Oryzias latipes: one gene and its partner. The protein of the gene in region 1 purifies or fractionates together with the protein of each later gene. This does not show direct contact. Links are inferred from orthologs where the notes say so. Each region holds a gene or a part of one and is shown in the gene's direction. Other genes may lie near its edges. The genes, in order: braf and rptor.

Region 1 (9,042 bases):
TAGGAGCCTAGTTCCAGAGAGAGAACCGCAAATCTCCTGAATCCTCCAAAATTCATTGAAAGTTTGTTGAAGTTTTAAAAGGGATCAACAATTTTGAAGGACCTGCGGTTTATCCATTTCATTTTCTAAAGAAAAGCCAAACAGATCACACCTGACCTCAAACATTAGTATTATTTTATTTTGGTAAATTATTCAAATCTTTGCTTCTTTAACCCTTGTGCTGTCTTAGATGACCCCACCCTTACATTGACGTGTTCTCCCTACCATGATAAAGGTGGATAAAGGTGGAAAGATTTCATGTAATCCATGGACACCAGTGAAGATCACAAATCATTGAAGAAAAAAGGTTCAGCGCACTGTCTAGTGGGTCTAGATGACCCAACTACCAATGGTAAAGTGCCTAGGATAGCACAAGGGTTACATTTTGTAGCTCTTGTAGCACCAGGCATGTGACCTGCGTTCTTGTGGGTTCTTGAATGCGCATTTCCCTCTGGACAAGCGGCGAGGGGCTTCTTCATTCCTTATTTTCTTTTTCTACTGTTTACCAGCGCATGTCCACCACCTACAGTCCGAAGAGGCTTGGTCCAAAAACGTCAAAGCGGTGCAAATCTCGTAAATTTTGCTCCAGACTTTTTCTTACTCACCGGTGTTCTGAGATATGAACTACTCTGTGACATATAGATCTAGCTGGGCACAAACCACAATCAGTCATTTATCCTCCATGATGAGTTTTCAAATGGTTGGCACTTCTTTGAGTTAAAGGGGACGCCATCCATACGCCACTACCAAATCGGAGTCCCTGATTGGTCAAAGTTCCACCAGGTTTATCTTTCAACGCATGTACAATGGCCACACATTTGAAGCCCAAAATGGTTGAAGGAACCTTTATAGCCATGGATTAACATGAGGGCTTTGAATGTGGAAGCCCAATATGCATATTCATTTACCTTTACATAGGCTTTTGGTCGAAAATGGCCGCTTGAACAGGAGAGGTGTGAATGTAGCTTTTCTCCTGATCAGCTGTAAGTCAAACTCCTGCCTAAAATGTCTCATTTCTAACCTCTGATGAATCGCTTGGCTATGCTGGAGGGCTGCTCTGTTATGACTTTCAACTAAAGTCTAAGAAATGAACACGCAGAGTAAGAAATGACGCCTTGGCTCAGGGTTTGTGTAAGTTTGCTGCAGCACTCGAAAAGCTGAACCAAAATACTCTTGGAGAATTAAAGGTGATCAAGCCGTTGTGTCTCTGCAGATCTGGAACATCAAGCAGATGATCAAGCTGACACAGGAGCACCTGGAGGCTCTTTTGGACAAGTTTGGAGGCGAACACAATCCTCCATCCATCTATTTGGAGGTGAGACCAGTTTGACCAGAACCTTTATTCAAGTAAAAGCTGGAGGTTGATGTTCTGCCCGCTTGTCTGCAATGTTCCTCCAGGCCTATGAAGAGTACACCAGTAAGCTGGATGCGCTGCAGCAACGGGAGCAGCAGCTGCTGGAGGCCATGGGGAACGGCGGCGACTTCTGCAGCCCCTCCCCTGTGCCAGCCCTGCTGGAGGTCAAGATGGGAAGCCTGGGGGTCGGAGGGGGGGTCCAGTCCTTTGCCTCGGCGCCCAACAGTTTAGCGGTCCTGCAGACTCCCACAGACGCCGTCCGAGGCAACCCTCGGTCCCCACAGAAGCCCATCGTCAGGGTCTTCCTGCCCAACAAGCAGAGAACAGTGGTAAGTCTGATGACTCATTCATTTACTCTGAGAAACCCCAGAGCACTTCACTTTCCCTCCACATGTGTTTTAAATAATAAGCAAATGATCACATGAAAACATCTTGTGGGTTCTGCTTTGACTATACGGTTTTAATGACCATGAATGCATCATCCAATGGGAGGGCCTGAAACCTTTATTTAAATAGAGGTTTTCAATGACCTCCAGCATGGTTGTGTCTACAGAAAAGGCTGAAAAGGTCATAGAATGGGGTCCAGGGTTCCTGTACAGCAGCACATGCGCAACAGAGAGGTTGAGGAAGATGAGTCTGGAGGAAGTTCTGCTTTTTCCTGATATGTAAAACCTCTGAGGGCGTGTTCTGTTTGTCACAACTCCACTTCCTCAGTGGCAGCATGCCAACGTTTACTTAGTGCTTCAAAGGGGAGAAGATATTATCAGGTCTGCATCTACCTGGCTGTCAGTGAACAGGATCTCCTGTTACTTCTAACCAGATCAGTCCAGGGTACACCAACTCCGTTTGTAATGTCTGAACCATTGACTGTATATGAGAACTGGACTGAGTGAGTTTGACATCACTCATAGAAGATGTCTTATTTCTGGCTCCAATGCGTGATGTCAATACAGTCACCGTTATCCGTGATATGGATGCCTTCCATGTTTTGACCATGTTGGACTGTCAATAAGCAGTGATTGGTCCAGGTAGGTCTGAGTAATCGTTTCTATGGCAACCACCAATCAGGAGTGAGCTTGTTGGAAGTCCACACCCCTACCACTGTGAGCAGGCTCCACGAAATGTGTCAAACGGTTTCAACGTGAGACCACCTACTTTTATTGAGGCATCTGATTGAACTACAAAAAATATCGTGAAAAAATGAGGATTATGAAGAACATGTTAAGAAAAAAGGTATCACATCAAGTATGGTTACTCTGACCAATAGAACGACTGACTAACAGCTGTTTATTTCGCTATAGATTCTATGGAATTTTTGGCTTCTTGGAACCAACAGTACTTCCTGTTTTGAACAGGTCAATGGTCTGAGCCTGATTGGTCCTTAGTGATATGTGTGGTCCTCAGGTTCCAGCCCGCTGCGGGATGACGGTGAGAGACTCCTTGAAGAAGGCTCTGATGATGAGGGGACTCATACCCGAGTGCTGCGCCGTCTACAGGATACAGGACGGGTGAGTCTGACACCATCTGCCCTACTCAAGGAAACCAAAGCCTTTTCTTCTAAGGAGGAGGATCACAATGAGTGATGGCAGAAATGTCTATAGGGCGCATCAGATCGTAACGTGTATCATCAACGTATTGGTCTTATGCCCTATAATTATTTTTAATGGTATAGGTTGATTCGATTCGATTCTGCCTCAGACCGATCGATCTGTTCTATACCAGGAATAGAAATCGTTTTGTGGATTAATCGTTACGCCTCTAGTTTGGATCTAGATTCCAGACGTTCATGGATCTATTTGTCTACAAGTTGATGCATCAGAATGGAGCAGAGCAGGGAGCTTGAGGTCCGCTCAGTGTATTTTGTACGTCACAAATAATCTCTTTTTTTTTTTTTTGTCTGCTCCTGATTTGGAAAAAGAAATACTCCAAAATGTAATTTCAAGCATCATTTTCTATAAAAATGTCCTCAATCATTTGAAAAATGCCATAAAAACATGTTCAAAACACTATTTTCCTCCGTTTAGGTCTTTAACCATCGTTCTGCACTGTTGAAACTGACTTGTTCAAGTCATGAATAACATGGAGACCAGAGAAAGTGGCAAATGAGAAATTTAAAGCTATTTATTACAAAAGTTAGAGGTATATGTTAGCGTAATATGCAGATGTGTGCGGTGATGAGCTGGTGGAAATGTTGAGTGTTGTAAATACAGTACAGACGCCCCAACGAGGACCTGCAGCACACAGAAGTAACATCCAACAGGCGAAAACTATTGAGTCTGAGAGCTCAACAGGTCAGGCCAGTTTTCTATGGAAACCAGAGTGGGCGCAGATCCGTGTGTGGCAATGTGTTTGGCAACGGGCTGCAACTTCTCCTCTAAAGTACTTTCACTTTTGGTGCCAGAGAGAAGAAGCCCATAGGCTGGGACACCGACATCTCCTGGCTGACGGGGGAGGAGCTGCATGTGGAGGTGCTGGAGAACGTGCCGCTCACCACTCACAACTTTGTAAGTAGGGGGTAAGGGGGCTGAGGTGCAGCGTCCGAATCCTCTAACCTTGACTTTCTGTCTGTGTGCTTCACAGGTGAGGAAGACCTTCTTCACTCTGGCCTTCTGTGATTTCTGCAGAAAGCTGCTCTTCCAGGGTTTCCGCTGTCAGACCTGTGGCTACAAGTTCCACCAGCGCTGCAGCACCGAGGTCCCCCTCATGTGTGTCAACTACGACCAGCTGGAGTAAGTCCAGAGAGTCCACCTCCTCACCTCGCGGGTGTGTTTCCAGGCCGCCATGTTTGTTCTAGCGCCCCATTAGCTGTCATGCGTTTGCTCTCCCCCCATCTGCATTCGGGAACCCCGTGGGTGTTTAACCTTCCAATCCAACCCTTAATGCTGAGTGTCAACCAGGGAGACACTAGGTCCCATTTTTAAAGTCTTTGGTTTGACCCAGCCATGAACTCGCGACCTTCCCGTCTCCGGGTGGACACTCTACCACAGGGCCACTGAGCTGGTTCATGGCTTGTCTCCTGTCTGAGCTGTTGGAGTTCTCATTTATCACTCGTTTATTTTCTGCAGTTTGTTGCTCGTGTCAAAGTTCTTTGAGCACCACCCGTTCAGCCATGAGGAGGTCTCCTCAGAGGGAACCACCCCCGTGTCTGAAGTCTGTCCACACCTCCCCCTCACCGACTCCACAGGGTGAGCCTTCGTCCTCTCGCTTTTCGGAGGGGTTTGGCAGTCAAGTGGCCTTAAGGCTCATTGATCTACTCTTTGTTCTGTCTTCAGGTCTATATGTCACCCCACTCTGTCCCCCTCCAAGTCCATCCCCATCCCGCCTAGTTACCGACCCAACGAGGAAGACCACCGCAACCAGTTTGGCCAGCGGGACCGCTCGTCCTCGGCCCCCAACGTCCATATCAACACCATTGAGCCTGTCAACATCGATGTGAGTTTCTCTGTAAAATCACCAACCACCATTTCCCAAAACGGTTTCACCTCAAAGGAGCTCACTGCTCTCCACAGCCTGACGAAGACGCAGACGTCTCCTTTGATTGATTTATTGATTGATTGATTGATTTTACGCTTTGTAGTCAAAGCAGTGAAGAATTCACACAGATTTATCAAACTCATTACAGAAATGATGAACTTCATCAATTAAAAAATATAAAGCAAAACAAAAAAACATTTGCTTAATTAAATATTGTGATCATTACCTGAAGTCATGTAAAACTTGCTTTATTTCTTGAAAAGGATGGGAAGAATCGAGCTTATAAAATCCCAACCCTAATAAATGAATAAATTTGACAGTTTTACACAGTTTTTGTAATCCCGTTCTGATCAGTAAATCTCTTTTCAAGTAACAGAATCCAGGGTTTATGAAGGATTGATTATCTTCAGAAAACATTCATTCATGCTGTCAGTAAACAGTAGTTGATCTGTAATAATCATTGATTATCATTAGAACTAATTAAACCAGTAATTATTGCTACACATTGCAGATCGAGTAGATAAGATCAATAGCTTATTCTAATTTAAAACATGTCAGTAATCATTGTTGCACATTACATAATGATGAGGTTAGTGTCGTGGCAGAAATCTGAATGTATCGGTTCTAAATCAAAGTACTTTCCTCATCCATCACTATGATTTTGAATGAGTTATCACTAGTTGGTTTGTGTTTATTCGCATAATTATGGTTCAATTGAAACTGTGTAATTGAGAATTTGTGTTTTTTCGACATTCCTAGATTTTTGATAACGTTTGTGTGTAAAGGAAACGCAGATACTGACCGGTTTAAACTGAATGGGGAAAAAGGAATCATTTACATTTTGACTGTGACTTTCTCAGTCCATTTCCTCTGGCTGATGTTTCCCTCCCTTGTTCCAGGACCTTATTCGGGATCAGGGCCTGCAGAGGTCTGACGGAGGTGAGATCCCAGTCTTTACCCATGTGCCCCCCTCAACCTGGAACTCCACCTGTCCATCATTATGTCTGAGGGCTGTAGTGCACAGCAGCCCAAGGCAGAAGCATGTCAACGTTAAAGCCAACAGTGAACGATGCCTTCATGTACACACAATTTCAATTCCATGGCCATTTGCAAACAGGAATTTCTACATTCAAGCTTTGTCTTAGGTTTAAATGATGCAAATTAACATTTATCATAACTGCATAGAAAACACATTGAGGTGAAAATTACAGCAACTTTTGTCAAATCTGTTTCACAGCCAATTCACAGAGTTTTAGTGCATCTTACTGCACTTTTTCAAATTAGCTTAAATCTATGCTCATCTTTTCTATAGTATGTGGCATTCTTGCTTTCAGACTTTTCTTCTAGTAACCACAGAACAGATGTCAGAGTGTCAGCGCACTTCTGCTGATGGAGGAGGTTTAAAAAAAACAACACGATGACCTGACAGAACCAGCAGGGGTTGGTTAAAGGAGTCCTTTTGAATTTACGGTCTAGTCTTCATAAAGACTTCTTAGCTGTTGGGGTGAATCCTCTCCCATCATTAAATACGTCAAATGTCTGTCAGACATCGTCACACGTGCTGATGATTGCTGAGGTGTTTCTGCTCATTCGTCAGATTCGCTGAGCTCCGTTTCTAGCGGCTTTTAGTCACAGTTTTAAAGAAGTTTATTGGCGGTCTTCAAACCGAGGGCTACCATGACACTGAGCCTCAGAGAGGACGGCTCAGTGAACTCCCCATCACTGGACTTATGTGACACAGGACAGGAGGAAGCAGCTCCTCATAACTGAATGCGCCTTTGAGAGCCAAACTGACACTTCCTGTCTTGATCACGGTGCTTGTATGTTTGTGTAAATGTGACTGAGATGCTTGCATAAAAACATCTAAGTTCAAAGCCCCCCCTTCACAAATTTATGACCTACTGTTGGATTTGGGGGGGTCCCTAGTGTTTTAGGAAGAAAGTCAGCCGAAGGAGACTTGTCTCTGCCAACAAACCTGAGATTACAGAAACAAACTCTGGGTTCGTGCTCTGAGGTTCTGACTGCAGGTGGACTGGAGATGACGTCAAGTTTGAAATCTCCAGCTTTCATGAGCCTCACACACCTGATCCACCTTCTTCTTCATCATCATCCTCCCTCAGGCTCCACTACCGGTCTATCGGCCACGCCTCCAGCCTCGCTACCTGGCTCTCTGACCAACGTCAAAGTCCCACAGAAGTCGCCGTGTCAACAGAGGGAGCGCAAGTCGTCTTCATCCTCTGAGGATCGCAATAAGATGGTGAGAGGCGTCAGTCAGGGCTGTGCCGCGGCACAGCGTGTGGTCGCTCTGACTTCCTGTCCTGTGGAGCAGAAACCGCTGGGCAGGAGAGACTCCAGCGACGACTGGGAGATCCCGGAAGGCCAGATCACTTTGGGTCAGAGGATAGGCTCCGGATCCTTCGGAACCGTCTTTAAGGGAAAATGGCACGGTATGGATCCAACCAGCATTATTTTGTAGACTCTTCTGAGTCATGTAACCTCTCTGCTCTCCTTCAAGCCAAAACAATCCAAGATGGCAGCTCAAACTGGAGCTTCTGCTCTGTTTAGTTCAGAACATTACCAGTCTGTGTGCACCCATACAGACTTTAAGGTTTCATTCAGTACCATGTCAATCCCCTGAAAAACAAAGACGGAAAGAAAGACTTCTGGGATTCGGTCACTGTGAAAATGCAGCCGTCTCATCATACAGAGCTGGATATCAGTGATGTTTACTGTCACCTGCTAAGAGAAGTCCTCACCTTATACCCCCCAGAACATAAATGTACAAAAGTATAGACTGGTATCTGTAATCAGGATGAAGTAAAATGTCTTCACTGTAAGAATGAAGTAGATAGCTAACTGCCGGGGTAGGTCATAAATATTACAGCTACTTTCAGGAACATTGTAGTCAGAGTTGGAGACAAATAATTATCTAGTCCATACACTACACTAATGTTATACTGGGTGAAGTTACTGGAAGTGAGGGAATCTGAAGGCAGTACCACACAGCCACTACGTACATTTGGAGCTATTGCACCAATGAAAACTGGTCATACGTGAAAAAGTCAGAAAGGTTCTTTATCAGGAAAGAATCACGTTAAAACCCCGGAAAAAGTATGAATAAACCACGCTAAGAACCCGTAAAACATAGAAGATGACCCGTGTGTGATTGTTGTGCTGTTTATACTCAATTCATTAGTGATTTGTGGTCCAACTAAGTAATTTGAATGTGATATACTAAAAACAATAATCCATTTTATTTAAATTCACCTTTCAAGAAACTCAAGGACAATGTGTACAAAACAGAGGTCCAAAGGTTCAGAAATACTCAATTAAAAACACAATAATTAATGAGTTAACAAATTCAAAAGTGAAGCTCAAAGATAAATGCGCTGTAAAGTGAAACATCTCTGGTACATGCGTGAAAAGTCCGTTAGACATACGTGGAACGGCCGTGGACAGCCACAAATGTGCGTACGCATTAGGGATGGGTGAGACGTCGGTGTCGGTATCGGATATTTATTTGCATAATTTCTAACAATCTGTATCGTTATCGATATTTAAAAAAATCAACCAGTACTTGTCTGACTGTTTTCAAATACACTTTATTATTGAAATGGGCACTTGTTCATAATAGATCCCCGGCACTAGGAAGCTTATGGTTTACAGTTGTGTCCTACAGTCAATCAATAGTATGAATGTTTTTAAATATATACTCAAAGTTTTAAAGTGATACTTGCTCCTTTAAGATCCCTTTTGTATGTTAAAAAGGTCAAGCAAAATGTGATTGTACAGCAAACGAAAAGTTGTGCATTTCTAATAAAGACACAAAAGGGAAATATAAACTTTGGTTATTGTAGACACCTAAATATCGGTTATCGGCCACAGTTGTAGGGGTAATATCAATTATTGCTTTTGGCCGGAAAAAATGAAATCAGCCTATCCCCAGTATGCATCTAACAAAAATCCCTCACAGTTACGTAAGATTTACTTTATAATTGAGTATAAACTATGTAAAGTACAAATAAACAGGTAAAAAAAACTCAATCGACCAAAAATCGTAAACGGCTCAAAACCGAATTCACGTTAAGACCAGTCGGCCCATACCCTCGAGGGACATCGTGACGAACGCAAGAAAAACTCATGAATTATGTATAAATCATGAAACAGCAACATTT
Region 2 (9,042 bases), on another chromosome or scaffold:
GCAAAAGTCTAAAACAAATTTTTCCTTTAGAAAGTTCTTCAGCACCGTCTCCTCTGTCCTCTCCAGGAAGCCTGTTTGCAGGGCAACCTGATAGCCAACTGCCTGGAGCAGCTGTCTGACCCCCACCCGCTGCTCCGCCAGTGGGTGGCCATTTGCCTGGGCCGCATCTGGCAGAACTTCGACCCAGCTCGGTGGTGTGGAGTCCGAGATAGCGCCCACGAAAAGCTGTACACCCTGCTGTCGGATCCCATCCCTGAGGTGAGAAGTCAGAAACACGGCTGCAGGAAAAACCTCAAGATTTCCAAGTTCTGCTGTTAAAGGGATGAAGTATTTGTGCTGTGTGACTATTTTTGCGCTGCTGGGAACGCGATTCTCATAGGGTTTAACACCTATGTGACTGCTATTCTTATTTGAAAAGAAGTTGTCAGAAGCTGACTCTTCCCAAACGTACCCATCCTGAAGGGTGAGCTGGATCCACAGACTGTTTTTTTTTTTTAGCAGGTATATCATGACTAAAGTGGGGAGCTGTGTGGGAGCCTGAGCTGGAGGAAGACTCTACAGATGAAGCACAGAAACATGACTGTTTTAAGAATTATGCCTTTTTTATCCTGTGCTTGGCTCAGCAGTTCAGTTCTTCTGCAATTTTTTCCATCCAATTCTTCTGAAAATGAAAACATTTTCTGTGACACTTGATGAATCAACTGCTCTTGGATTGTGTAACCTGGCAGATTTCAGGGATTTTGCTCATACTAAAATATTAGTTTGGACTTACTTGGACTTGGACTTAAAAATTACATTAATAACTACAAAATATTTCTGTTCAAAATCAAGCTACATGCATATCTGAGGTCAGGAAGTACAAAAAAATCATTTTGTCTTGATGAGAAGATCCGTTTACCACATTTACAATAGTAATGCCAAAACTGTTGTCTCTCATCAAACGTTGGAAAGGTTTGATTGACAGATTTTGTGTAGCCCGCTTTCAATTGGTAGGGCTGTGGAGTTCCTTCCAATAGGCCCACTCCTGATTGTCAAGAGTAGTTGCCATAGAAACGCTGATTCAAATAAACTCAGAACAAACACTGCTTACTGTTTGGCTCCAACATTGTATCGTGAAAAAAACAGCGACTGAATTGAATTCATTTTCTATGGGTGACGTCGCACTCACTCTGTCCAGTTCAATGTGTGTTACATAAAAGTACAAATACATATATGCGTGTTATTCTCTTGTGCAGATGTAAAAGCAGGACATCTGTCTAGGTAAGGTCTACGTACACTGTCTACTCCCTGCAGAACTGGAAGAGTTAGACAACATCTGCTGGTTTTAAGTGAAAACTAAACTCAAGGACGGTAAAAGGGGGTTCAATTCCTGGAGGGGAATGAGCAATGGTACTGGGGGCAATTACCATATCAATGGCGAGCAGTTAACATCACCCAGTGAGGGTCCTTAGGCAAGACCCTTAACGATACTGCCTCCCGAGCGCGGTTTCGGCTGGTCAAATGCGGAGAAAGAATTTCCCTTCGTGGGATAAAATACAGTGTATAAAAAAAAAAAAAAAAAAAAAAAAAGATTGGACAGCTGCTATGGTCCTGTGACCGACTGATTTCTAAAGAGATGATCATTGCCTCCTATTATCAATGTGTTTCCAAACTCTAGATTTTTTGGGGTTTTTTATGGACAATACTTGAACTAAAACAAGATAAACACCTGACCAAGACCTGTGAGTCAGAAGACCACGTCCTTTTTTACACAGTTTGGCGTTCAAATATGACAAAAAAGATTTTGAATTACCTACAACACATGTCAGTAATTTGCTAAATAAAAAACAGACAAAGAATTTTGTGGATCAATAATTCAGTTTAGATTAGCGAGTTGACAATAGATACCATTTCCTATTCAAAACAATTTGATTAAATATATATTTATTAGTTTAATTTCCATTTTCAGAAATGTTTTGTTTAGTTGTAAAAACTAATTTGACTTAAATAATGACTTATACTAAACAAAGTTGGAACTTTCAGGGATAAAACAATGAGTTTTGACCAAAATAAAACCCAAATAGAAAAGCTATTTCTGCCTTAAAAAAGTAATTTAAATTTTAAAACTAATTTAGAGATCTTAAGAATCAGAATTGCAGTTTTTAATTTTAATTAATCCTTCTTTAAACCCAGCTCTAGAGCTGTATGTCAAAATCTGTTGAAATGTTAGAAGCAGCTTTTAGTTGTAACAAACCCCCGCAGGCTAATTGGTGAACTGCGCCCTGCTCCACTTGCTTTCATTCGGAAATAATCTTAATCTACAAAGATAAAGAGGTTGCTGATTGGTTAAAAAATATACATCCACTAGAGCGAGAAAATCCAAACTGTCATCTATAGTTTTGTGTTGAAAGTGAAGATTATTTATCAGTGTTGCACATTCATAGTATGGGACTCCTCATATGTTTTAGCTAAAAGCTAAATTTAGGTAAATATTTCTTCAGTTTTAGCTCAGTTTGTGACCTAATTTCCTAATTGAGGCTTTTCTGAGAGGGAGTAAAGAAACAGTTATTGTCTTTTATGCATGTTTTTTTCCATATGTCAGAAAAATAGAAGCATAAAGATGTTTACTCTGTTTACTGTCGATGGGCGTGGCCCGCCAAACAAAGCCATCAGGTCTATCCGAGTGGCCACGCCCCCTTCTCTCTGAGAGACTCACTGAAGCAGAGACAAAAGCGTCAATGTTAAAACTCTGCACAAAGAGGCTTCAGGACTAATGATCTCTGCGTTTCACTCTCACGCTGAGCCGGAAAATTGAACTGTAATGACCTCGAATACTTTCATCCACTTGTCTCTATAGTCATTAAAGCATTTTTGTGTGATTCTGGTGAGCAAATATTTGACTTTCAAAGGCTGAAAACTGAGCTCGGACGGGAATTCATTAATGTCATTACAGCCAAGTTCTCCCTGAAGGACAGATAGACGAGCTCTTTGTCTGGTTTGTGTGACTGCAGGTGAGGTGTGCAGCTGTCTTTGCTCTGGGAACATTTGTCGGAAACTCCGGAGAGAGGACGGATCACTCCACCACCATCGACCACAACGTGGCGATGATGCTGGCGCAGCTTATCAATGATGGCAGCCCTGTGGTCCGGAAGGTCTGTGAAGCACAAAAACATCCACATGCTAAGCTCTGTGTGCTGTAATGCTGACTTTAATGCAAAAAATATACATTTAAATCATTAAAAGACAGTTTTTCTGGTGTTTATTCTCTGAGAACAAACGTAGAAATCACATTGCTGGACAAAGACAATTTTCTGACATTTTGGAAACTTCATCAGATGTGTTTGTAGGAATGGGGTGAGTGTTTACCCCTGCCTCCTGAATGCTAACTTAAAAACTAATTACCTCCCAGTTGGAGTCTTAAACTTACAGCCCTGACAGGAGTGAAGCTGCAGAGCTCTCCTCCCACTCTCTACAAATAAAAGCAACATTTCTCTGAAGGTGTAAGCAGCACTTTTAGCACTCCAAAACCATTTGTTTTGAGGAGATTTCTGAGTTAAACTAAGATACTTCCATGTGTGTAACCACAGATAATCAAAGGAAAACATCCGAGACGTGATAACGATTTATACCATGGTCCAGGGGAATACTCGATTCTGATTGGCTGCTGGGTGTGAACTAAAATGTGATAATGGACAGTGATAATGTACACCTAAATATGAAGTTCCGTTCACATAGCCCATATGTTCTGTATCGCTGTACTGGCTTCTTTGAAACAAACTTTTGCTTCATTGTCTGGATAAAAACAAGTGGTGAACCTTACCTCGAAAATTATTCTTTGGATCACTTTTCAGGATTTTTGCACCTTTACTGCTTTCCCCTGCTGGTTAGTCCTCACATCATCTGCAGCAGATTGAGAGGTTCTGTACCCATTACCATGACAATGAGTCACAGCCCATGTTTAAAAGTCTGCTTCTTGTGAAAAACTGATTAAACATTTAAAGGTCTATATCATGACAAAATTCCTTTTTATTAGCTTTTAAGTGTATTATAATGTTCAACCCCAAAGTGGTATTTTGCTCCATTCCAGCATCTCTGAGTATTCCTCTAAAATCCTGCACTCTGAGCACCAGCCCCTCCCAATCCACAAAAACAAGCGGGTCCTCACATTGTGACATCACAAAGTGAGAACAGCCCCTTCCAGGAAGATTTTGCACTGCCATCACGGCTCCCAGGCTAACACACACACTTTCTCAGGGTAGCTAGCTGTGACTGACTAAACATTTTTATTTTATATGTACATCCATCTTTGCAAAAGTTCGGATGTTTGATTTCGTGGGCTCTAGGTTGACGTCACAGGAGAAAAAGGCAGTGCCTCAGAGATCGAGTTTTTACAGTAACTGTAAAAAAATGACTCATATTTAATTAAAAAAAATGTGTTCCTTAGTGTGCCAAAGGTAATATATATTATCATATATTTATCAATATATATATATATATATATATATATATATATATATATATATGGATATGGTTTACTCTGAAAGGCTTAAGAAAAGCATGATATAAGTGTTTAAAAAAAAATCAAGATTGAAGTACTAATAATTTATGTACTATTTATTCCTTTGGTAAGTGGCCATGGTATAAGCAGGAAAAAGCCCTTTGAGAAATTTATGGACTTGACGGAAGCAACCGTCCTACATGACAGGAAGAAAATCTGTTTGGGAGTTACTGGATTCTCTGAATGTGTTTATATTTTTTTTTCAGGAGCTGGTGGTCGCGCTGAGTCACCTGGTGGTTCAGTATGAAAGCAACTTCTGCACAGTTGCCCTCCAGTTTATAGAAGAAGAGAAGAACTACTCGGTGCCGTCACCCGCTAACACTACAGGTACACACCTGGCGACACCAGCGCCTTGTCTCCCAAACTTCATAGCAGCAGCTGCTAAAACATGTCAGCAATCGCAGCTTATGCCATTTCTCCACATTGTTCTGGCAGTTTTTTTCCTCCTCCTTCTGACAAAAACATGACTTGAAAAGGACTTTCCAGTCTGAAACCGTTGAGATGGAGGTGGAGATGAAGCGTGTTTTTCCAAATATGTTTTGCGTTTATCCATCACAGGGTTTAGAATAAATTTAAGGAGGAGCTCAAGGGATCTAAAGCTGGAAATAAGCTTCTCTTCTCAGTCAGGTGTGTAGGGGTTGCAGGGGTAAGTTTATGAGGAAGTTCTACATTCATGGACCACACTTTTGTTTGAAACCTCACTGGGGTTTAATCAACCAATCCTGTTGCTTTATACACCGGGGGAGCACTGAATTCTAGGACAGTAATTACTCTTTTTCCCTAACCTATCCTGTAATTTGGAATCTATTCGTAAATCCTTTTGTGAGAAGAGAAGAGCTTTTTTTTTTTTTTTTTTTTAATGCTCTAACCTGTTGCTGTCTGCTGCTGATTAGAGCCTGGGAACCTCACGCCAGTAAGGGACAGTCCCGCCATCCCCCGCCTGCGATCTGTCAACTCCTACACCAACATCCGAGCTGTCACCACCGCCCGGAATCTGAATAAAAGTCTGCAGAACCTCAATCTCAACGAGGAAGGTGAGACCCCAGGGAAAGCTGGGAAATAGAGGATGAGAGAACATGATAAAGATCACATGTCCGAATTCCCTCGGTACTACTCAAAAGGCAATAAGCAGTAGTGCCAGACTATCCATTATGCATTAATTCAGAAGCACGCTGAATACTTTTTATTTTATTTTTATTTTTTAAGTTTTTTAAATGTCACCTATGACATTAGCCAAACTAAAACCTAGCAAATATTAACATTTGACAAAGACTCAACTGTATCTGATGATGAAAACTTCTATAATTAAATAAATAAATAAACTTCATAAATATTTTTCGTTCAACCACAACGCATAGGTCTATACTCACCAATTTAGTGAGCATCAGTGCGCACAGAGAAATCTCCGGGTCACTGGATGTTAGAATTGTTGATTCGGATTCCGACAAAATGATGAGGGCCTTATAAAGTGCTCTAACCAGGGAGTAGTGAGTGAGTTCAGACACAAACATAACTTTAAAGGAGGGCTACTGAGGATTCAGTTAGTGAAGGAAATAGTAACAATCAGAGTAAAAGATCATCAGAACATTTACTGTACAGATACAGTTGCTGTTTAAAGCCTAAGACTTTCATTATTTTTGCTACAACTTTCTTCTTAAATTAAATGTTGAAGATGATCAGAGTTTGGGGTTGATGTGGCTTTAAACACTTTTGTTCTGAGAGTCTTTCCCCCCCCCAGATTTCTGCAACTATAAATTACTTTTGCCATCTATTTTGCATTTTTACTTAACAGCAGTTATCGTTAAACCTCGTTTTCACCAGTCCGGTTTAGCTAACAACAACAATAGAGGTCATCCAGCAGCTCATTTTTCTCTGCTTGTCTTTTGGTACTTCAAGTAGATTAAGGAATGCTGTTTGAGAGAAGTTTGCCGGCGGTGAAGAGGAGTTCAGCAGCTTTTTTTGGTGCCTTCATTTGTTGTAATCACTTTCAGCCAATCAACGGGTTTCAATAGCAGCTTCGCCCCAACTATTTTTCTGTGGACCTATAAACGACCGGGGCCCAAAAATAATACGACTCACTCCAGCTTAATGGGTCCATTTTATAACGGAAACACTTAAAATACCAAACGGGACTGTACCGGACCACTCAGTGAAAGCGAGGCATTAATGTCTGTTGTTGCTCTTTCCCACTTAAGAAAAAAGTATATTTCTTAGTTTCCCTCCTGGATGTCAGTATTAATATACCTTACTTTTATCATGTATTCCATATTTGTTTACGCTGCTAAGCTCCTCTGCTTCTGGTTGATTATCATCATCGTGACGCGGGAACTGTCCGTGGTGCTGAAGACAAGGAGTCTGCCACTTAACCCACTTTGACCTCACACAACATGTGGGCTTTTACAAATCAGTTCCAACATTTAATATTATTTTAAATCTTAACATTTTTGGGATTTTTAGTTGAAAAACTTAAAACACTCATTTGTTATAATTTGGCTTTCCTGCAGAACAAAAGATAATCAACATTTCAGATCTCCAAGAGCTCCTAAAAATGACTGTATTCTACTTTTTTGTTGCTTGTTAATCACAATGAAAATATTTGACATGGGACACAAAATGTTTATTCATACAAAATATTTAAAAATATGACTTTGCTGATTTATACTGATCAGTGAATCAGACTGTGTACACTGTAATTACCTCATATTTAAATGGTAAGATCTGACAATTCTTATTAAATATTTAAAATGACAGGATCTTTATTACCTCATAACAAATAAACACTGTGAGTTGAAAAGGTGTCTTTTGAAGCTTTAAAAGAAGGGTTTAAGATTCAAAGATTAGTTTGTTTATTGACTTTTTTAAACATTTTGTCTCAGAGTGGATTGTTTTCTTTACACAATCATCAAACATGTATGTAAAAATATTATGTCACAACCAAACAGTCGTATATTTAGGCACACCCCTTCTGAAAAATGACCCATTAGTTCTTGTTTTTAGGTGAATCAGAACCCAGTTTAGATGTTTTGGGTTAGACACAGTGTTTTTAATCCCCCTTTATCTTTTTTTACAAGCCGATATGATCAGAGGAGAAAGATCAATCAGAGCGGTGATAATCGGCTGCAAAAATGTCGGTTTACCAACTGTGGAAACGGTTGACTGCCAGAAGTATTGTTCCGTATTTAAACACCAATCTGATTTCTTACCAAACTGCGACTCTTCTTCTTATGCTGAAGGCGTTAGAATGTGTCGGTTACTTAAAGGAGACTTTTTTCGCCCACTCTCCCTGATCCTATAGATCTCTTTGATACAGGTTGCACTGACACATCTAGGTTCAGCTTTTGCGTTACACAACTCAATGGAATAGTATTCCTTGATCTTTCAGGAACCGTAGAAAAAAAGTTAAACTTGTGGAAGCTCCCATGGAAAAGGTTGCAACTTTTTTACTGAAGAGATTTGTTCCGACTGTCAGTCACATCCCTGTTATTGGACCGTTTTCTTCCACAACCTTTTGAGCACCCAACCTGCCTTGACTTATGTGCTGCAAGCCCTCTGTGTCTCTGTCACATCTCAGTGATTTAGGCTGGTAGGGCAGCTGCACTCTCCCTGTGTACCGCTGCCAGACTGAGCATGGACAAGCCCTAAGTAGCTCTAAATCTCCGGAACTTGCCAAAGTGCCTCACCTGCTGCCGACTCCATTTCTAATTCTCATTCTCGCCGCCTGCCCCAGTGTGCAGGGCTGTTTATCACCAATAAGCTCACAAGCAGGGCAAGTTTCTGTTCTCTCTGTTTCCACATTGCAGCCTGCAGCGTTAGAGGACGACGCATGGTGTTTGGGAGTGTGTGAGTCAGAGCAGCGTTCAGTGAAAGTGAGTTACAGCAGGACATGAATGAAGCTGAAATGAAGTTATGAGAAACAAGCCTTCAAGCGCTGCTCGCATCGTGCGGGCGCACAGCACCTTTTAGGATGTTGACTATTATTTATGAATTCATTTATTTCCTCTGTGAAGACTTAACTGATTGACCACATGTTGTGACTTGTCCAGGTGGACCCGCAGCCTTCTCGCCTGGTAACCTGAGCACCAGCAGCAGCGCCAGCAGCACTCTGGGGAGCCCTGACAACGACGAGTACATCCTCTCCTTTGAAACCATTGACAAGATGCGGCGGGTTTCCTCCTACTCCTCACTCAACTCCCTCATAGGTAACTCTTCCTGCTCTGCCCGTCTCCTTTAACTGTGCGACCTCTTCTATTGATGTCCAATTCCCACCAATGCTGTTTGGCCTGAACCAGTTTGGTACATCAAATACTCCTCTTCTGGTAGAATATGAAGGCCTATTAAAATAATAACAACAATAGATTTATTTCTTGCAACTCAAAAGTGGCCGAACAGGGATAAAAGCACAAACTTAAAAAGGCTTTACAGTTTTTAAAGTTTAAAATTGCAGTCAAGAAGAGTAGACAAGTCTGAGAAGGTGAGTTTTGAGGTTGGACATGAGGGAGTGAGTC

What was found.
Region 2: the proteins of braf (region 1) and rptor purify together in Homo sapiens (affinity purification with mass spectrometry; 3 studies listed by BioGRID and IntAct, with this or other methods). This does not show direct contact. The link is inferred for Oryzias latipes from reciprocal best matches to the Homo sapiens genes BRAF and RPTOR.

Annotation. Positions count from the first base shown.
Region 1 is NC_019881.2:4,413,170-4,422,211, forward strand, and holds part of braf (serine/threonine-protein kinase B-raf), read left to right. Parts: intron 1-1,252; coding exon 1,253-1,354; intron 1,355-1,437; coding exon 1,438-1,722; intron 1,723-2,797; coding exon 2,798-2,901; intron 2,902-3,794; coding exon 3,795-3,897; intron 3,898-3,973; coding exon 3,974-4,122; intron 4,123-4,458; coding exon 4,459-4,578; intron 4,579-4,665; coding exon 4,666-4,825; intron 4,826-5,766; coding exon 5,767-5,806; intron 5,807-6,987; coding exon 6,988-7,124; intron 7,125-7,196; coding exon 7,197-7,314; intron 7,315-9,042. UniProt on the Homo sapiens protein: Protein kinase involved in the transduction of mitogenic signals from the cell membrane to the nucleus. Phosphorylates MAP2K1, and thereby activates the MAP kinase signal transduction pathway. Phosphorylates PFKFB2.
Region 2 is NC_019859.2:4,582,672-4,591,713, reverse strand, and holds part of rptor (regulatory-associated protein of mTOR), read left to right. Parts: intron 1-66; coding exon 67-258; intron 259-2,990; coding exon 2,991-3,131; intron 3,132-4,743; coding exon 4,744-4,864; intron 4,865-5,095; coding exon 5,096-5,164; intron 5,165-5,430; coding exon 5,431-5,571; intron 5,572-8,580; coding exon 8,581-8,736; intron 8,737-9,042. UniProt on the Homo sapiens protein: Component of the mechanistic target of rapamycin complex 1 (mTORC1), an evolutionarily conserved central nutrient sensor that stimulates anabolic reactions and macromolecule biosynthesis to promote cellular biomass generation and growth.